Linked DNA regions of Tamandua tetradactyla. The protein of the gene in region 2 interacts with the protein of the main gene of each other region in a pairwise test. Links are inferred from orthologs where the notes say so. Each region holds a gene or a part of one and is shown on either strand. Other genes may lie near its edges.

The links.
Region 1: the proteins of MRFAP1 (region 2) and BRK1 interact in binary tests that used the Homo sapiens proteins (3 or more experiments, as listed by UniProt). The link is inferred for Tamandua tetradactyla from reciprocal best matches to the Homo sapiens genes MRFAP1 and BRK1.

What each region holds. Positions count from the first base shown.
Region 1 is NC_135335.1:39,041,574-39,052,894, reverse strand, and holds the start of BRK1 (protein BRICK1), read left to right. Parts: upstream 1-6,839; 5' UTR 6,840-6,883; coding exon 6,884-7,001; intron 7,002-11,321. Other genes in the region: FANCD2OS (FANCD2 opposite strand protein), read right to left, coding at 1,175-1,711. UniProt on the Homo sapiens protein: Involved in regulation of actin and microtubule organization. Part of a WAVE complex that activates the Arp2/3 complex. As component of the WAVE1 complex, required for BDNF-NTRK2 endocytic trafficking and signaling from early endosomes.
Region 2 is NC_135345.1:6,302,069-6,312,871, forward strand, and holds MRFAP1 (MORF4 family-associated protein 1), read right to left. Parts: upstream 5,191-10,803; 5' UTR 4,986-5,190; coding exon 4,602-4,985; 3' UTR 4,589-4,601; intron 4,040-4,588; 3' UTR 3,022-4,039; downstream 1-3,021.

The DNA.
Region 1 (11,321 bases), on a different chromosome or scaffold from region 2:
CAAGATTCTAAGCCTTGGGAGCTAGTTTTGAAACTATTGAAATTATTTTAGAATTTAAACTTGTACCAGTTTTACAAATAAATTCCCTTTTGTGTTCTGTCTCAGCTATCTCATTCCTCCTATCACTGTTCAAGGATTAGATGGCATTGAATTGGGGTTTATTCAGGGAAATAATGGAGACAGGTGTTAACACATCAGTTTTACCTATTAAAATCATATATTCTATTATTAGGACCATCTTTATTTGAGATGAGATCTTTGTGATCTTTTTGAAGTAGTGACTTGAATGTTTTGTTCATGCCCAAAGGAAGTCAACGAGGAATATTTGGGGTGTTTTGTTTGTTTTTTGTTTTTGTCATCATGTTAGTATTAGAGAAAAAAAGGCACTATCAAACTCATGTTGTGATTATATAAGGTTTATTTCCACATTATTCTATGAGTTATACCTATAATCTGTTTATAAGAACACCTCAAAATTACTTATAGTTTATTAGAAATCGAATATTTAGGAGTATACTTTAGCTAAAATGGGAAACTCTGTCTTCTGCCAGAAAGCCTAGTTTCAGTGCTACTACCAAGTTCTTTTTTGCCAGGCTGTGAATATTGTTTAATATATGTTAATAAATTATATCTACCCTTGTACTTTCTAGTGTTTTTAGGGTATAGCTGGTTATGTAGGTTTGTTTTTTTGGTTTTGAGGGTTTTATAGTTTTGGTGAAGAGAAGATATATGTTTGTTTTTAAATTAATCCTTGACTTGCATGTAGATTTTTGATCCATTCATCCTCTGGTTCCTAGAAATCCATATATCCCCTTCTCTCATACCTCTCCCCCCAGAACGGTTATAGTCTTAGGCATTTAAGTAAAGTCCCACTAGGCTCATTGTTTTATATAGTTTGTTTAATGGTTCTTTATCACATGTACATGTCAACACTAGTTTGACTCTTTTAAATAGTTGTTCAACTTTACAATGGAGATGTTCTTTCTTGCTCTGTGTCACTGGCCCTGTTTTGGAGGGGAAGGTAGGAAAGGGGCTTCTGAATTGTCATGGCTTGACAGAAAAGCAAGATGGTTGGGGTGATGTCACAGTTTCGGTCACATGAACATTTTTCTGTAAGCTTCAGTTATATACCAAAGGACATGGCATGAGGAATTAGGAATCAGACGGAGACCATTTACTTGGAGTGCTGCAAGGCAAAGGTGCACTTCTTGTATGTTGCATATAACAAGAGGATAGAACGCAGCATTTGTTTGCACATGGTCACTGTCATCTGAATTTGAGGCTCCTTAAGTCCAGTGGGCCACTGGTGTTCCCGGCTGATGATTTTGCAAAAGGCTGACTTGTCTGACACTCTGAAGGTCCCAGTCCACTTTGGTGGCTGGGCTGTGATAACCCTCCCAAACACAGAATCCACCCCATTGAGACGGACAGGCTGGGGCTTCCTTAACAGCCCTTTCTTGTTGTTCATAGCCCGGAGCTCTGACGTGTGGCAGGGTAATTTGGGACTCACCCCAGTTTCCAGGAATGGGCTGTCTAGGACTAGAGTGACCTCTTGAAAGCACAGCTGCACTTCAAGGTCAGAAGGAGTATGTGGGAAGCAGGGAGAGGCCCTAAAAGGGTGCTTGGAAGAGGGTGTGGGTGTTGTGTGCCGCAGCCATTGGAAACTCTCGTCCAGTGGGGTCCATGGTGACCAGAGCTGGTATCCCGCCATTGACAGTCCTAAAGAAGAGGAATCAGAGCATGGGATTTCCCTGACATGCTTGGTGAGGACATGGCCATTCACATTCACATCTGTTTCATTAGTGATTTAAACTTATACTCTGTAGTTCCCATGAACTATTTCAATAGATGTTAGTGTGTTAGTGATTCTATAAAGGGCAGTAAGGGAGGGAAAAAATGTTTCCAAAGGCCAGTCTTTAAAATTATTTTTTCTATTTTCTAGGTGTGTTTTTTCCTCATTTATGGGGAGACCCACCATATCTTTTAAGACCTCAGTTTTCTGTTTCCTTTGAAGATAATCTTCCAAGGGCTTGGAGCATATTGCTAATGCAGAATTTATCCAAATAGAATTGGAATTTTTCCATCATTACACTTCAAAATTGCTAGTATAAAAACGTTTTTCTGAATTCAGTAGGAGCTAACACATTTTCAGCACCTACCTATTATGTTAAGGGACACAGCAGATACCTTTTCTTTCTAGCCAAGTATATTGCCCTGACTCCTTTCTTCTCCCACAAAAGGTAACAGTGACAGGTTTGATCCCAACCTCTCCAGTAATTGGCCCAGAAATTCTGTGAAAAGTTGGCATTTCCACCATAGTTTGTGAGACCTTAGAGATGATGTTTTAAAAAGAACTCTTCATGACATTTCACACTAGAAGCCCTCCACTGACAATGGTTAGTGTAAAGGAGGTTTGTTGATTTTCTTCAACTAGTGTGTTTCTAATCCTCTATGCAGACACTTTGCACATGCTAACTGTTCAAGTATCTGGGCTGCCCTAGGATGAGAAGAGCCTGCCATCCAAGGGACAGTTGTCTATTCCAAAAAAAAGCTATGAAATGATGCTTGATCTCATGCATATGATATCATGCATAAGAGCATATATCCAAGATTAGGGCTACTCTGTAGACACCATTATGGGTGGTTTCTTAACTCCTCCCGGCATATGACTAAAAAACACATTTAATTCCAGGATCCTTTTCCCAACTCATCTCCTCTGACAAAATAGAGAAATAGGTGCAAGGTTTTATCAAAGGTCCAGCACAGATATTCGGCAGAACCAAGGCGGAATGAAGGGCTCCTGACTCCAGGGCCTTTCTACCAGTTCATCCCCACCCCCACCATTCGGAAGTCCCATCATCTACTTCGGGGGGTGGGAGGTGGTGAACCTAGGAAGTCTTTTCAAGTTGCTCTAATGTCTCCCAGAGAAGAGATGCCTCTTTCTGGCCAAACAGGCTTCCCCTTCCTACCACTCCTCCCGTTCAAGGAATTCCATCCCTTGATTTCCCCACCTGGGAAAGGGAAGGACAGCGCCAAAGTGCAGCTGAGGTCCTCGTGAACTGTGAACGGAGATCTGGAGAGGTCGGAGCTGCCGGGAGTGGAGGCGGCACCCCCTCCCAGCCCGGAGAAGGGGCTTGTTTCCCGGGGATCCCTACCGGGGGGCGGGGGCCACACGGCTCTGGCCAAGACGGAGGTGGTGGTGGGAGCCCGAGCCCGGTGCCACCATCAGGGCCGGGGGCTCACCTCCTGAACTCCGTGGGCCCACGCTCCAGAGTGGCGGTCGCCGGTCCCGGGCCGCATCTTTTCTCCACCGGGTGCCTGGCAACCGCCTTTGTGACCCGGGATCTTGAGCCGCGGCGTGGGGGTCGGGGGGGGGGGGGGGGGGGGGGGGAGGTTAGGGCTCGAGGCGCGCCAGCTGACGGCCTTAGGGGCTGATCTCCCCACTCCCATCTCCTGGGAACCCTTGGCCGGGGACTGAGCCTTGAGGAGCGCGGGTTCGATTCCCCATTCTCCCCACCACCCCTCCCTGCCTGTGCGCCTTTGATCAAGTCTCAATCTCAGCATCCATTCCAACACATGGAACAGAAGACTGGCACGCTTGAGAGGTCAGGAACCAGAATTAAAGCCCCGGATTTACATTACACCCTGTTCGGTGGATGTTCAGGTAGTTTATCTAGGCTCTGAAGCTGTATGTTGCTGTATTGGAAAGATCCCAGTACAAGGAGACAGAACTTCATAAACGCCAGGCCATCAAAAGCAAGAAGATAGATGATAACACGTCTTTCCTTCACTTTCTGACCAAAAACCTTTCACTACCTTCTATTACATCTCGAAAAGTATGATCCTGTCCCATCCTTACAATGGTAAAAGATGACACTTTCACCACAGTAAAAGAGTGATTTGACAACTTTGTAAAACATCATCTCAAACAATTATCCTGGGTCACCAAAGAAAGAAGGGACATCTAACCAGTTCACCTTCAGAGTCCCAGTGCCTGGCAGTATGAAGTATTTGTGAGAGAAATTAACTACCTACCTGCTCTTCCATTATACACCCAGAAATTGCCTTGTACTCTGCAAGCTGTAGAAGGCAGCAAAAATAAGGGCTGTCTCCTTCTCTGGTTCTTTAAGTGAAGCTGAAGGATAGATCCTGGCCAGGAAGCAGATAGGTTTAAGGAGCTTGTGAAGCATTGTCAGATGCTCACTGTGCATGTTTGCATGCCCTGCAGGAGAGGTAAGTGGAAAGAGGTTAGAGGGAAGACAAAAAATGGAAAGAGGGAAGGAGAATGATGAGATTTGGAAGAGATGCAAAAGATTTTTTAATTACAAAACTTTTTCCCCCAGTAATTTTTTTTTTAATTTTCCCCTTGAATAAGAGAGATACCTGATATTTAAAAAGCAGGCAAAACAGTTGTTTTTATTGCCTTTTTTTTTAATGAAAGTCTCCAAAACAACACTGTATGGTTAGAAATTGCTGGACAGCTATAGGTGTATTTTATTGCTACTTTCTGCATAAGAAGAAAATGTTAACTTATCTTGAGTCCTTTGCTTCGTTAGGCTCTGTTCTTAGTTTTTACTTTAGCCTTGCTTGCATAATCCTTCCAACAGTCCCAACCCACTGAGGTTGTTATTTTAGTAATACACTTGAAGGAGCGAAAGCTCAGGGGGGTAAAAAGACTCATCTCTAGATTTGAGATTTGAAACCGAAATGGCCTTCCTTTTAAAGGAAAAGGTCTGTCTGATTTCTGAGGCATGTGAGCCATATACTACTTCAACAGCATCAGTTGGAAAAGCGGGGTCTTGATTGGAAGGGGGCCTTCATGGGTGCCTAGGGCTCCTTAGTTGTCAATATCAATTACTTTAGAAATGATTTGTGTGAATATGTGGAAGAGCTCGGATAGACTTGAGCCTATTTTCAGTGTGGTACAGTGAAAAGATAATGGAGTCTGGGTTGTTGTAAACATCAGATGAGGGATGAAGATACACATACCTGAATGGTTAAAAGATTTTGAAACGTAAACTATTACCCTCACAAAAATTCTCAGATCAATCTCAATTTATATGATAAAGGCAGCGAAATCACTCAAAGAAGCATCTTCCCTTCCCAGTGGTGATGTAGCAGCAGAGCACCACAGAGGGATCAGAGGAAGGATGAAGAATGTGAAGAAAATAAGACACAAAACGAGGGCGATGAAGATGGGGGCAACCTCTTCAAATTCCAAAAGAAGAAGAGGGAGAGACATTGACAAAAGAGATTGAGGAAAATACCAAGGAGGGAGTAGAAGGGGGAAAAAAAAAGAGGAAGGTGAGAGGAGAAGAGCCAGGAGAAGGAGGAAAGGATTCTTAGGTTTCATGCTTTATTTCTTCGTTTTCCAGAAAACACAAGCCATGAAGCAAAATTTCAACCATCTTCCCATGAACTAAACTTGTTATTTCCCGAAGAAATAAAATGTTTTGGCCTGAAGTTACCCTTCTCTCTAAGTATATCAGAGATTCTCTGAAAAATTACACTGCTTAATGTGGCTAGATATACCTGGATGTATCTACTTAATCAAGTCAACTTGAAATAAATGTGAAGACAATATGTTCATATTTCATGTGCCTGAAATTTTGGCCTTTGCTTATTATTGTTATTTATTTTTATTATTGTTCTGCATGAATAGCCCTTCTTACTAATACCCTGAAAAAAATTATTTCAAGGTATAGAACCTCTCTTCGGGAAATAACAATACTATTTTCTCTGGGTGTGCCTTATAACCTGTCTTGGATTTAGCTTTGAAAATGAATGTGTCCTCCAGAAAATAATTATATAAATAAATGATGATAACATAACCTCTTCCTGACTTCTCAAAGGGTTTGTGAGGATGCTATATAAAAGTGTCTTTATAGGTTGTAAAATCTTCCACCCAAGTAAAGGACTGTTAGTAATGGTTTCTTCTCAGCTACTACTAGAAGAAATGACTCTTCAGCCACTTTTTAATAAAAGGCTTTTACAGCACAAATCAGATTGTAAATATTCCTTGAAACAAAAAGTTTGCAATTCCATTATTTTAACAAATCAGATATTGACATTTTGGTATATCTTTCTTGTCCTCAAGCAGCAATGAAAGAAAATTTTGTATTTTGTTTTTCCCTTTAATGTATCATGTTTTCACATTACCATACTTTTTAAATGACTGCATGGTGTTGCCTTAAGTGGCTATACCTTTGCTTAGTTATTCCCTATTGCTGGAGATTTATTTTGTTTTGATAATTCTTCAAAGAGCACCTTTAAGCTTTAAGTTATTTTGTGGTTTCTTTTTTTTTCCTTTTCAATGATTTTCTTAAGGATATTAGGTCAAACGGCAGTTATCAAATTTCCTTCTCAAGGGACAATGTGATCAACTATTTATGATCCTACCAATTTCACCTCAGCCTTGCCATCACTAGTTATTTAACTTTAAAAACACGTTTTGTTAATTTGATATATACAAGGAGGGATGTCACGTTGCGTTGTTGGAAACGTTTTTTAAATGACTTGTATGTAGTGTGGTTTAAACTGCTGTGCCCACCTCACTGCTGACACATACTGCGCCTCCTTAGTTTGGAGCAGATGAAAGAGCTGGTGACACTGGCCCAAGCGCCTTCTAACGACCACAACGGCGGGTTACAGGGTAGCTTTGACACGTGCGTATTCCACTCTCCCGGCCTGAGTCGCCGCATCTGTTCTCCCGAGCGTGGGAGAAGAGCAAGAACGCAGCCGAGGACTTAACACTGCGCAGACGCACCACAGTGCTCGCGGAGTCCGTGGGAGTCAAGGCAGCGGGTTTGATTGGCAGCGCAGGCGCACTGGCGGCCTGTAGGGACGGTGCGCCTGCGCAGTTATTCTCCCTTCAGCGGCCGCCATGGCGGGCCAGGAGGATCCGGTGCAGCGCGAGATTCACCAGGATTGGGCAAACCGGGAGTACATTGAGGTCATCACCAGCAGCATCAAGAAAATCGCGGACTTTCTCAATTCGTTCGGTAAGTGGGCGATCCGGGGGAGTAGGGAGACCTCCGAAGCGGTTTGGCGGGGACGCTGAGGAGAAGCTTTGATAGGGCACGCCGGGAGCTCTCGGCTCTGGCTCTTTTTCGCATCCTCCTTCGGGCCGCACTTCTCCCTCCCTGATCCCTAGGCTCCTTTAGACAGTTTCGGTGGGGTTTTCCTGTCCCAGGCTGGGCTCATGGGCCACGCTGGATCCACCAAGTCCTTATCCACCAAGGCCTTCCTTTTCTCAGTCCGATCTCAAGCGGCCCTATCCGTTCTCTGCGGCTTTTCTTCTGCCTCTTTTGCGCCCCGCTTTCATCCCGGTTCCTGCTTTTCACTCTTAACGACTGTCACTCCCTTGCTTAAAGACTGTTTTGATTTTTGAGCGGACATGTCGCCATGTCGTTCGAGTCAAGACGAAGCTTTGCGTGCTACGTGCTGTTTCCGCATTTTTTTCCGTCGTCCCTTCAGCCACTGCTCTCGCGGTTCCTTCCTTCCTGATTACCGTGGGCTTGCTGAAAGCGGTAGGAATTGAGGTTAGAGAGATAGGTAGAGTCCAGAGCATTATAAGACCGTGGAAATCTCTGTATTGCTGGTATATAGCATATAGCTGTAAGCGGGTGTTTTTTATGCTTCTAGCCGGTTCCACACAGCTAACACAGGGCGGGAGACTTGAGCATAGAGATAACTTTGCCAGAATCTTTCTTTAGTATATCGTGCTTGTGACAGTCGTAAAAATTTTCTGCACTATTCCATACCCTTCTTGAGAGCAAGCCTGTACAAAATTCTACTCCATGTTCTCCAAGTATGCTTTGGTTACATTAATTCAACATTAAACAATTAAGATTAAATATGGAAAAGTGATGTATAATTTTTTTTAATGAATTATTTTCTAGCTAGATGGCCGATGAGTCCTAAAGAGTATAAATGTGACAGAGCAAGAGTGTTGTCAGAAAGCATCAAAAAGAGGAATTAAGTCTCAGTACCAGGCATTCTCTCAGGCACTGGGGGGGCGTGGGGGGAGCACACTATGGGGGACATAGAATAATTTCCTGCCAAGTAATTTCTAATTTTCGAGATGAAGTGATGACAACTTCAAACAAAGCAGAGCTCTGTGTTTTTTTGTTAAAATGATTAGGTGCAAGATGTACAGGACTATAATCTTTTAAAAAAATTTTTTATTAATAAAACCAATCAATATACAACACGAATATTCTTAATGTATGAACATTCCATACTTGGTGTGCAATCAGTGGCTCACAATATCGTCACATAGTTGTATATTCATCACCATGATCATTTCTCAGAACATTTACATCACTCCAGAAAAAGAAATAAAAAGAAAAAATTCATACATACATATCCCTTCCTCTCATTGACCACTAGTATTTCCTTCTACCCAATTTATTTTAATGTTTGTTCCCCCTATTATATATTTATTTTTAATCCATATTTTTTACTCATCTGCAGGACTAAAATCTTTTTATTTTTCGGAATTTTTTTTTAAACACCAAACAAACGCAAACATTCTTAACTTTTGATCATTGTTCTACATATATAATCAGTAATTCACAATATCATCACATAGTTGCATAATCATCATGATCATTTCTTAGAACATTTGCATCTATTCAGAAAAAGAAATAAAAAGAAAACAGAAAAAAATTCATACATACCATACCCCCCACCCCTCCCCTCACCGATCACCAGCATTTCAATCTAAATTTAACATTTGTTCCCCCTCTTATTCATCTTTATTCCATATGTTCTATTCGTCTGTTGATAAGGTAGATAAAAGGAGCATCAAACACAAGGTTTTCACAATCACACAGTCACATTGTGAAAGCTGTATCATTATACAGTCATCTTCAAGAAACATGGCTACTGGAACACAGCTCTACATTTTCAGGCAGTTCCCTCCAGCCTCTCCATTACATCTTGAATAACAAGGTGATATCTATTTAATGTGTGAGAATAACCTCCAGGATAACCTCTCGACTCTGTTTGGAATCTCTCAGCCATTGACACTTTATTTTGTCTCATTTCACTCTTCCCGCTTTTGGTCGAGAAGGTTTTCTCAGTCCCCTGATGCTGAGTGTCAACTCATTCTAGGATTTCTGTCCCACGTTGCCAGGAAGAGGCTTGTCTTAGTATGGTGGATTTCCTCACTCATTAGGGAATGGGAATGAAGGTATTGATTATCCTTATGAAAGAAGACAGTAGTATAGTATAGATGTATATGTCAGGGCTAGATGTACACACATACAGGTTGTTATAGAGAGTAGGAAATGGTGGTCAAAAAAGCATAGCCCTCATGTATCCTGAAATGTTTTGAGGAATATAATAAGGTTGTATGGTTTAATGGAGAAAGTGAGTGGATTTGGAGTCAGGAAACCCAAGTTCAAAGAGATTAAGGTAATTGGTTTTAATAAACTGGACACATTTCAGAAATACTGGTCTGTTTGCATTCTGTGGCGACAGTTTGAATGTTGGTTCTCATCACTAGTTTCTCCTGCTTTCCTAGAGAGATGAAATATTGTTGGGGGTTCTTCACCACATTCTTTATTCATAGCATTCCCTTAGAGGAAGGGCTAGATAAGAGAAGCCAAAATATCCGTGCTAGGGAAAGAATGAAACGATGACAGGATCATAGCTTTGAGACTCTTCTTTAATCTAGAGAGGCAGTGGAAGTACATGGAAAAATCACTGATATATTTAACTTTGTTTTAAAAGGCAGAACTTAAAGACTTTTTTATCTGGGAGGAGTTGATTTCTGATACATACAGAATATCCAAACAAGATATATCATTTCAATTAGTAAGCCATCTAAAATAAGCTAGACTGTTTTTCCAAATTTGAAAGTGATCTAGGATTTCAGTCCCCAAATTTAGATCCTAAATAATGTAATAACTTCATTTCTGAGTTCAGAATTATATTAGTAAAGTTCTAGTTCATATACGTTTATCTTTGGCATCCATCTTCCTGTCAGATCACACCACTAAATCTATAGTTTGTGATTTTGAGATCTAACTGAAAATTGTACAGGATAGATGTCCCTTGTTTTATAAGGAAGAAAAATCGGCTCCGAGATTTTTAGATGAGTGATTGACATTTTGTGATCAGATGGAGAAGTGTTTTCATTTCATTGGAGATTTCTAACAAGTCCTAGACTGAGTCAACAGATACACAGAATTCCTATCTGTAGGAGCTAGAAAAAAATGGCTTCCCTTAACTTAGGCCTCCCATAAAGTGATGGTAATGGTCTAATATTTGAGTAATTGCTAGGTAGTTTTTGAAGATTTTAGAAGGTGAATTTAGTCTTTTTAAAGCAAAAAATAATAATAATGACAAAAAAGAACAAATATCAAGCAATATTAAAAGTTAAAGCTATTTTACTTAGTTGTTAGGTGTGAGTGAGGCAAGTTCCTGAAGATTGACAGTATGATGAGATAAGAGTTTAGATAAAGACCAACGGTGAGAAACTGAATGAATCATAGAGATAGAGTTGAATACATTTCTTGGCACTGGATGATTTGGGATGAGGGTGTGTGGGATGTATCTTCCCACTCAAAGCTCTTAGCATGACTCCTCAGTTCTGATAAATAAATCTGTGGGGTTTATGATAATATGATTTGGTGGTGCAAAGATTCAATAGGAGTTTTTTACTTTTTTGAGGGGCAGCTGGAGCTTTTTGAAAATCACAGCCATCCTGCAGTGCCTACCCTGACCAGAGGATCTGCACAGGCCATGTGCTCTGGAAAGGGAACCTTTTTTCCAAGATAGCTAATAAAATGACTTTCTGTACAGCTTTTATGCTGTGGTTCCAGTTGGTGAGAGTAGAGTCACCATCTCTTTGTGGTTTTCTCTTTCAGAATTGGAGGACCACTTGAACCTGAGGACACAACAGATTAGAATGCAGTGACAACACCCTAACAATAGGCCTGTTCTATGCCTTGGAATTGGTGAAGTTTCTAAAAATAGATTATCTCAGATTATAATTTATTTTATATTCTTTTTTCTGATTCTAAAGTGAATATATGCTCACTGCATAAAATTCAGAATGTATAGAGAAATATAAGGAAAAAATAGAGAATATGGCTATTTAAAAATCAGTTTCCATGCTTTAGCCAACAAATATAGCATGCCTATTGTGACTCCAGCAGTGTGTCAGATGATGTGAAAAATAAATATGAATGGACATAGTACCTACTCCTAAGAAATTGTTGGAGAAACAAAACCTACAAAACAATTCAAGAGAAAGGGTTGATTTTTGTAGTCTGAGGGTTCTGTGCAGTATGACTTCAGAGAAGAAGCCA
Region 2 (10,803 bases):
CTCTGTCATCCTACCTCCTCCCACTGGATCGCCATCCTTCACTGAGGGGAAAGTGAACAGCTACAAATGAAATGTGTGAGACAGGAAATAATTTACTAGATAATGTCCCTGAGTAACTGAGAAGGATGTGATCATAATCACAGCCCGTATCCTCACCAGAAGGAAAAAACTTTTAATCAAACAAGAGGAAAAGAAGAAAGGTTTGAAAATAACTATATCAGTCATCTTAGTCTAGGTTAATTCATTTAACAATCCCCAAATCTCAGTGGCTTAAAACTAAGATATCTCCTTGCTTGTATTACATGTCCATCATAGGTTGGCAGAGGAACGAAGCTCATCAAAGGGACTCAGGAACACAGGCTGACAGGCCAACCATAGTGCCAGAGGGAAAAGTGCTGATGGCCTCCCACTGGGTGTTCAGACTGGGATGGGACATGAGTTACTGGGCAGAATTAGTCACACGGCCGTACTCCACACAGCAAGGGGGACAAGGAAGTACAACTCTCCGGAAGGCAGAGAATTGGAATTTATTTGGTGAACAGCACTAGTCCCCCCCATACACACACACATAATTTCATCCCAGAAAAACTTTCATTCTGTAAGTGACTAGGATGCTTTATGAAACTTTGACATAACAAAACGCGAGGGCTTGGAAAGGACCTTTAGAGACTAGACAGTGCAACCCTTTTGTTTTAAGGACAAACAATTTGAGGACCAGACAGGCAGTCATTTGCCCAAGTTCACACAACAGAACAAGTGGGAGGAAGACTGAAAGTCCTGTTTCCCATCTCCCAGCCCATGGTCCACGACAGCCTGGCACTCTCTGAACTTTATCTCCAGCAGCGTTAGGAACTCTTCTTTCCAGCAATCCTTTTCACCTGGGGTCAGATATCAGTGCCATTTCCCCAAAGTACTGATCGTGCCTTTGGCTGTTGCCAGTTCCAGTTCTACCACGTCCATCTGAGCTGAGCCCACAGATGTAGAAGCCTCTGCAGTAATTTCTGTGGTCTTCCTGGCTTCATCCTGACCAAGGGTGGGACCAGTGGGGCTGGGACATTCTATACACCTCACCTCCATTTCTCATGGATGCACACAATACATCTCTTCCTGGATGCCTTTCATCATCTCCCAGCCTGGGTTAGGTGATGCCCCTATGCTCCCAGTCCCCATGCTTCCTCCTATAGTTTGATACCGAAGGACATATCACAACCAAAACACCAAAATCCTGCAGACAGGTTCCAGCTTGAGGTGGCCTCTGCAGTTATCGGGAACTCATCCAATAAACAATCCCTCCACTGGCCTTTCTGTAGTTATCCATGACCTGACCTCTGCAGGACAGCCAGGAAAGGGACAGCCTGGGGCTTGAGAGGGATGTGTGGCTCTATAACCAACAACCTGGTCACCCCAGCCATACCCAATTAAATGACTATACAGCCCTGCCCCTCACAATGGCTCCTATCAAATTCTTTACTTAGAAAATGCAAAATGCAAACTATTCAATTGTTCCTCCAACTGCCAGCAAGCTGAGAGGAAGGATTTCAGGAGCTGGGGAATTTGGAAAGCTGTGGCTGCACTGCAGTTCCAACCAATTCAGGAGTTATTGAAGAGAACTGAAGACAGTAGTTTTCAAACTTGTATGTGCTTAAAAATCACTAAACAATGGATACTGTGCAGCTATAAAAAAGAATGCAGAACCAGATACTGCGATGGGAAAGATTTCCAAGCTGTATTTTTAAGTAAGGGGAGAAAAAAACTATCAAAGAATGTAACAGTGCATTTAGTATACTACCATTTATGTTTAAAGAAAAAAACTTGGGAAAGTTATGCATATTTGGAAAAATATACAAGAAACTGGTAATAGTTGTTTTGGAAGAGTAACAATGTTCTGGGGGGGTGCTCATTCTTATTTGTTTTTTAATTTTGTGCCATCTGTTTTAATGTGATATCCTGGATTGGATCCTGAAGCAGAAAAAAGACATCAGTGGAAATCTGGTGAAATCTGAGTAATACCTACAATCTAGTTAGTAGTACTGTAGCAATGTTAATTTCTTAAGTTTAGACAAATGCAGCATTTTTGTTTCCTGGTTCATAATTTCATCCTATCCACTTCTCCCCACTACTGGAACTCACATGGAAGATTCGGAACCTGTCATTTTTCTGTTCCCTTTTTCACTCTCTTCTCGATCTTGAAAGCTATACTCATCCTTCAAGGCCAAGTTCATGAACCATCTGCTCTGAAAAACCTTTCCTAGATTCCCGGTTCAGTATTCTCTTGAGACATGACATGTATCTGTACCGAGCTTGTGACACATGGTTTTCTACTGGTTTGTACTTTTACAAACAGATTCCTTCCCCAGGAAGTAGACTCTGAAATGAAGATTAAAATGCAGGTAAATTTACTGGGATTAATACCAATGGAAGGGAAGGGAAGCAGCATTGGGTAGAGGTTGGGCTATGATACAGTCCCAAGGAAGGTCTCAGCATGCCCCAAGGAAGCTAAGAAGCCCTTCGAGGTTGCCCCACATTGTGGTGAGAGGGATAGAGCCCTTACACCACCAGTCCATTAGAGGGCTAACCAAGAACAGTCCGTCAGCAACACTTGCAGCAGCTGGGAGAATAAGACCTTCATCCTGAGGGTTGGGGCATCACACCACCTCTATTCTATGTCTTATCCCATCCCACCATGAACATATCTTATCCCCATATTCCTAATGCAAGGATTAGAGTAGAAAATGCTCCAGTCTGTATATGAAAGATGACTGTAGGTACTTTGGTTCTCTGAAAGCAGGGGCCTGGACCACAGGATCAGATGAGCTTCCTTCTACAGTAAGAACAGCCTGTTCTTTCCACACCCATTCTCACAGCAGCATGCGGAGAGTATATCATTCCCAACAATCAGAAACATGCGGAGAGCCTTGTAAACAGTAAGCAATTCATGGCCCACTTGATAACACCAACCAACCAAAGAAAAATTTCATGCTGAAAGAACATCCATTTCTTAACAAATTAACTTTTTAGGCCTTGTCTTTTCAAGCAAATGAATACTTTTATTAACATAGTAAGTTTTTTGTTTGTTTTAACAGGTAGGGTTTTGACCTCAAATACTTGTGTCAGGTCTGTTATTCAAATGAACTTATAAGCTGGACAATTTGTGAACCTTGAGGCAGCCTCTTCTCTATCCAATTTAGGGTCCAATGCATACAGTTTCTGCTTTCCTTTCCCAGTCCCTCAAGGGACTTTGCAAATAGTTCTTTCATTTTATGCCCAGAACACTCCAGAATGTATCAGGGAATTAATTACATCAACCTGCACAGAATACCAAGTTTTCATCCCCTAATCCAGGTTCCATGTCAAAGCTGAGTTAGGTTGTCCAAACAAAGTGACTAGACAGGTTACACCAAATAGTGTGTGACAGAAAATTTAAAATTTGAATAAATCTCTCCTCCTTTGGTCTTACGCAGAAACTAAAGTCCCCAAATACAGACAATACCATCCTCCACCCTGCTTTCTGATTTACCTTAGTTCTAACCAGATCAGCCCCAGTCACACCCCCAGTTGAAGTACGATCCCTTCTTCAGCTTCTTCAGCAGCTGCTGCATGGACTCGTCTTGCAGAATTAATGCAGCTCCTTGAGTACCTCCAGAGCTGGAGAGCTCCAACTCCGAGTCTCAGGTGTCACAAACACACCCAAAGTTCCACGGAGCTACCAGGCCACAAACAAAGAGCAAAGTACCTCAAAATTTAGAAATAACAACTGAAGCCCAGGAACAAATGTCACTGCTGCAAGAGTTTACAATCTAGGCCCTAATTCCCTTATGTGCGAGCATTTTACAAATGAAGTTATTTCCAGAAACAAAACTATTTAACAATCAACTTATATTGAGGTCATTAACCACAGACCATAGCAAAAAACGTAGTGTAATTGAGGACAGAGTGCAGACAGAGGAAAAAAGAGAGAAAACAAAAGGCTCTCTGGTTTCAGCTTCTCCAGGGTGTCAGCCAATCTCCATCAGGTGACGAGAATCCATTGGCTGTAAACCTAAAGCACAATTGAGAGAAATTTATCAAGAGGTTAATTCTGGGGCCAAACCAACCAAAAACCCTCAAAAAATTCAATCAGCAAGGGTGCCACCTCCTCTGGAATGCCACTTGACTCCTTCCAGTCTTCCAGCAAAATTTGGAATTGTCCAATACCGGACATCTCTCGTAATTCTCTATCTCTATCCCCCCACGCCTTTCGATGGCGTATCATGTGTTTGTTTCTGTTCCCTTCGTGATATTTAGGCTTACTCTATCTTACTCTGTCTCTAGTCTACTGGTGGGGACCTCTGGTTTCAACCAAACACATACCAAGCCAAAATAACTAAACAAAAAATACACAACTTATTTTCCCTAGTTACCAGAGTAAACCAAAACTACCCAAACGTAAATGGTATCAACTAGGACCAAAGTTACAAGTCAAGCATGCTCTTATCCTTCCCTTCCTCTGAATATCCACCTCACGTGGGTGGCTAGAAAATAATTTTTCTCGGAGAGATGTGACCCAGTTTAAAGCGTCAACCCAGCTCCCACGGGCGGCCGGCCTTACCGTCGCTTCCCCTTCAGGACGATTCGCTCTTCTCTATTCTGCGGACTAGCTCCACCAACATCTCTGCCATCTTCGCAATCTCTTTGGCCTTTTCCTCGGCCTTCTCGCATCTTTTCGTCGCTCTACCCTCGACTCCGTCGTCGGGATTCTGGAGATGATTCAAAGCGCTCTCCTCCGAAGCCTCCACCTGGGTTTTTATTTGGAAGAGCATATTGTCCATCTCCCACAACTTGCTCCTATTCCGCATGTAGGCTCTCCCGTGCTCTCGGTTGAGAGACGCGATATCCTCCCGCATCTCGTTGATGACTGGGAGCAGAAACTGCTCAAAATCTTCCTCGGGTTCCAGCACTTCGACCTCCTCGGGTTCCGCCAGCTCGACGATGTCCAAAGGCCGCATTTTTTCCCGCTACTTCAGAGCCGCAGTATCGACGTCGATCGGAGAGATTCAGGTGGAGAGCGACTGTGCTTGTCGACAGAGTTCCAGAAAATTCTTCAAAACTTTTATCCTTTTTAAACTTTTCGCCTCGCAGACGCCGAGGAAACTACCGACTTCGGAGCAGAGAAGCGCGAACAAAATGGAGTCGCGGCCGTCAACCAGCGCTCTGCGGGTTGCGACCCCTTTTACGGCACGGCCGCGCCCCTTTACGGCCACGCCGCGGGTAGGGAAAAGGTGCGGGCGCGCGCACGTGGCTAATGGAGGACGCGGCCCCGCCACCGCGGCTGTGCGTACGCAGGCACGCACGCGCACGCACTGCATTTTCCTTCCTCCTCCGTCCTGCCGCTGCGGTCATTTCTCTTCCTCTCGGTCCTTTCTCTTCCTCTCGGGGTGCTTCCCGTGCCCCCTTCCTAAAGGACTTCTCGGGCGTCGGTCTTGACGCGCTTTAGGATGTCAATTCTGTTTTCCTTACGCCAGAGGAGGGGGACCAACCTGGCGATGTAGTTCAAGGCGCTCTCGGCCCCTTCCCCTGGGTGCAGTAGCCTGACGCCACCCGCTTAGCCGGTTTAAAGTTTAATTTTCTTCCGTGGCTCACAGTCGCGTGTGGCTGGGTATCCTTTAGCCAGACGAGTCTCCCACACCCCAAAGGTAGAAAGCCTGGTGTGACCATCCCGAGGCTCCAGCTCTGCCGGACCTGGACCTTGAGTTATACCGAAAAAGGTTTCCCTGACTTTTTTACCAAGCTCTGCTTTTTCACCGATCCCTTCGGGGGCTCGTGCTACCCAGCGCTGGGTCCCTAGCGCCCCGAGCAGAACTTGCCCCGCAGGAAATTTGCATTAATATTGACTTAACGCAACCAGTTTTGAAGGAAATGAACCCAGGCCTCTTGACCCAGTGATCACAGCTTGTTTTCCAGTTAGCTAAATGGAACCAAGCCCCTGTTTTGAATGAGGCAGAGTTAAGGATTAAGAGAAGTCCTAAAAACGCGTAGTAAACACCAAACAGACTTTTCTCAGATTTTTAGTATTTCTTATACTTTTGTTGTTATTAACGAAAACCCAACTTTTGAGTTTTATTGATTTACCAGAAGCAGCGGTAATGCTGATAAGCTTTTTGTATGAATATAAAGAAATGGCACCCCACCAGTTGGATGGATTGCAAAAATCCATCACCTCCCTGGGGTGAGCTTGGTGTGGGCCCCGTCGGGGAGGCAGTTGTGGGCAAGGCAGAAAGCCACGCTGCCCAGCTTTCATCCCGGCCTGCTCCCTGTCATGCCTTTGTTTTCTCTTAATTATTAATATCTGTTCCTTCTACTGTGTTTGGTTTATTCTGTTGTCCCCTTTTCAACTTCTTAGGCTGGACTTTTAACTCAATGCTTTTTTTTTTAAATAAAGCAGTTTGAGATATGTTCACACACGATACACTCCATCCGAAGTATACAACCAGCGGCTCTCTGTATAATCGCAGAGTTGTGCATTCATCAACACAAGCAATTTTAGAACACTTTCATGACTCTGAAAAGAAAAATCCCATACCCCTTATCCCCACCTATTATTGACCCTTAGCATGGGTGTGGTACCTTTGTTACAGTTGATGAAAGAATATTAAAATATAACTGTTAGCTATAGTCTGTAGTTTTTAGGTGCTTTTTATTCCCATATACCACTCTATTGTTGACACCTTGTAATAGCTATGCTGCATTTTCTAATATTTAAGATCTTATTTTCCTATCAGGTATGGCTTTAGCTGCGTCCCACAACTTTTGGTATTGGATTTTCATTATCATTTGGTTAAAAATAAATTTTGATTTCCACTGTGATTTTTATTACTACACGTATTACCTTTAAATTTTTTATTGTAATAAACATAACATAAAAATTATTTTAATCATTTTTAGGTATACAATTCTGTGACATTAAGTTTACAGTGACAATGTTGTGTAACCACCACTATAGAGTTCCAGAATATTTTCATCATCCCAAACAGAAGCTCACACCCCACCCTCCTTGCTGCCCTGGTCACCATGATTCTGCTCTCATTACTTTTACTAAGTAATAAGAAATGTTTACTTATTCTAAGTACTTCATATAAGAGATACCATGCAATATTTGTCCTTTTGTGTCTGGTTTATTTCATTCAACCTGCTGTATTCGAAGTTCATCTGTGTGGCAGTAGGTACCAGCACGTCATTCCTTTCTACAACTGAATAACATTCTATTGTATGTACTACTTTTTTTAATCTGTTCAGCTGTTGATGGACACGGGTTGCCTCCACAATTTGGCAATTTGGACACGGGTTGCCTCCACAATTTGGCAATTATAAGTAATGCTGCAATGAGCACTGGTGTACAGATACCTGTTCAAGTCCCTGTTTTCAATTCTTTGGGGCATTTGCCTAGAGTGGGATTGCTGGGACATACGGTAATTCTATGTTTAAGTTTTTGAGGAACTGCCCAACTGTCTTCCACAGTGGCTGCGCCAATTTACTTTCTCACCCACAGTGTCCAGTGGGTCCTATTTCTCTCCATCCTACCTGACACTTGCTACCTTCTGCTTTTTAAAATAGCCATCCTGGTGGGTGTGAAGTGGTGTCTCGTTATTTTAATTTGCATGAAGGTATACGAGGGAGCTCGTGGTGTTTATTTACCCCAGTTAGTGTGAACTCTGTGTCCACTGCAGAATGTTTGATCACAGGTGCCCAGCCCCTTTGGAGGGTGTGAACTTTGTCATCTTTCTAAAATCTGAAGAAGTCTCGACTCTGGGAAACCCATCGGGCCCCAACAGCCTGGATACTTTAGGGTGCAAGTCTTTCTCCTTTAACACAAGCGGGAGGCCCCGTTTCTCAGTCGAGGTGCCCGAAGGACGCTGCAGGAGGAAGAGGCTGTCGTGCTGTTTCTGGCCCTGTCCAGCCCAGCGGAGTGGGTGCGGGGGCATCAGGGGAGCTGCCTCTGCCTCAGATCCACCAGGTCCCTCTGCAGCCCTGACCTGACCATGACCTTTCCTGATGTGGAAATCAATGCCCTTGGTACCCATCTGCTCTGAAGGGCCCCCGCCCTGGCCTGAACTCTCGCTGCAAGCCCACCTTCCTGGGGTTGCTGCTCATCTGCTCTCCCCTGCTGCATGACCAGCAGCCCCAGGCCAGTTTGGACATTTTTATAACCTTGCCTTAATTTGGACATTTTCACGACCTTAGAACTGTAAACTTGCATCTTAATAAATTACCCCCCCCCCACACTTTTTAAAAAATTTATTTTGTATGCTGTAGGGTGGGGGTCACATTTCATTCTTTTTCCATGTGACTGTCCCATTATTGCAGCACCATTTGTTGTAAATCCCTCTTTTTAAAAGTCGTTCTTTCTGGGATCGCATTCCAGCAGCTTGCAAACTAAGGCCAATGGGTCCAAAACGCCTCTGTCTAGCTGGGAGTCACATGGCTGCTGGTCCTTTGGCTTCTGGCTTCAAACACCTTCCCCAGGGGCATTTCTTTCTGCATCTCCAAATGTCTGGGTCTTGTGTTGGCTCTGAGCTCTCTCCAAAATGTTTCCTCTTTTAAAGGACTCCAGTAAACTAATCAAGACCCTTCTTGAATGGGTAGAGTCACATCTACATCTACTCAAAAGGTCACACCCACAACTGGTGTGTCACATCTCCGTGGAAACAATCCAATCAAAGTTTCCCACCCTAGACAACAGGCCTGTTCTCACAAGTTGAATCAGGATTAAAGCATGGCTTTTCTGGGGTCCCTAATAGTTTCAAACTGGCACAATGAATATCCAAGTCATGCTCATACAGCAGCAATGCCAATCTGCTCTGTATGGTTCTGATTTTAGTACACATGCTGCTGAAGCAAGCACCCGACTAATTTCTTTTGTGGGTATATCTCATTTATCCATTCATCTGTTGGGGGCCATTTAGGCTGTTTCCACTTTTTGGTTATTATGAAGAATGCTGCTATGAGCCTCCATGTACCTGTTTTGGTTTGAACACTTGTTTGTAAGTTGTCTTTTTTTTTTTTTTTTGGCTTTTATGAAGGGAATTTATTAAGTTGCATATTTATAATTCTAAGGCCATAAAAAGTCCAAAGTAAGGCATCCACAGAAATATACATTGACTCAAGAAAGGCTGATGTTTTGAGAACCTCTGTCAGCTGGGAAGGCACTTGGCTTGCATTTGCTGGGCTGTGTGGCTTCTGGTTTCAAACAGCTTTCCCAGGGCCATTTATTTTCTGCATCTCCAAATGTTTAGATCCCATGTTGGTTCTGTTGGCTCTGTCACTTCTGAGGTTTTTCCAAATTGTCGCCTCATTTAAAGACTCCAATAAACAAATCAAAACCCACTTTAAAGGTGGGAGGCACATCTCCATCTAATCAAAAGGTCACACCCACAGCTGGGTGTGTCACATAAACATGGAAACAATCCAAGCAAAAGTTCACCCCTACAACTGAGTGGGTCAATCTCCATGGAAACAATCTTCTCAAAGGTTTCAACCCTAAACAATAGCCCTGGCCTGACTGGATCAGGACTAAACCATAGCTCTTCTGGAACACATAACAGTTTCAAACCAGCATATTCCACCATCTGGCATCCAAAAAGACATGTTCTATCCAAATACAATATACATTCATTCAATCACAATATCACAAAAGCCTTAAACCATTTCTGTAACAATACAAATGTGATACAACATCAGAAACTATAAGAAATATCAAAGTTGTATATAGGTATGGTCTGTTATAAGGAAAAAAAATTGCCTCTGGCTGTGGACCTGTGAAGCACAAAACAAGTTATCTGCTGCCAATATACAAAGAAAGGACAGTCATACGATACATGTTTTCATTTCCATAGAGAGAAATTGGAAGGGACACAGGGGTTATTGGACACATACAATTCTGAAATTCTTCAGGGCAGACTCCATTGGATTTCAAAGTCTGAGAGTCATCTATCATTGGGGTTTTAGCCATGGTCTTAGCCTTTCCAAGGGCCTATGCAGAATCCCTGCTATCTGCAAATACTAAGGTGAGGGTTGCAATATTTGGGTTGTTTGCAAGTTTTGAGGCACCTCCTGTGGTGGCTTGGAGTTATATACCCCAGAAAAACATGTTCTTTATCTATTCCTGGGGTTGTGTACCCATTGCAAATAGGACCCTTGAGGTCACTTCAGTTTAGGGATGGCCAGCTGAATTGGGATGGATTTTAATGTTATTCTTGGAGTCTTTTATAAGCAGAATGAAATTTAGACACACACACACACACACACACAGCCAAAGGGAGCTGCCGGAAGCTGGAAGTCAATGGAACGTGGAAGAGAAAGGAGAAGATGCTGTCGTGTGCACTGCCATGTGAAGGAAAAGCCAAGGATCCAGGGTCTCTGGGAGCCTTCCCCAGAGTGCCACAGCCTTCTGTGAAAAAGCATCACCTTGAAGCTGCCTTGATTTTGGACTCCTAGCTTCAAAACTGAGGGCCAATAAATTCTCATTGCTTAAGCCAACCCATTGTATGGTATTTGCCTTAGCAGCCAGGAGACTAAAACAGGTGCCTTGGAGTGGAATTGCTGGGTCGAATGTTAACTCTGTTTAATTATTTGAGGAACTGCCAGACTATTTTCCAAAGTAGCTGCACTATTTCATATTCCTCCCAGCAACACTGGAGGTTTCCAATTTCTCCACATCCTCACCAGCACTTGCTATCCTCCGCCTTCATGATTCTGGCCATCCTACTGGGTGTGAAGTGGGATCTCACTGTGGTTTTTTAAATTTTCATCTCCTTGCTGCGATTGTGA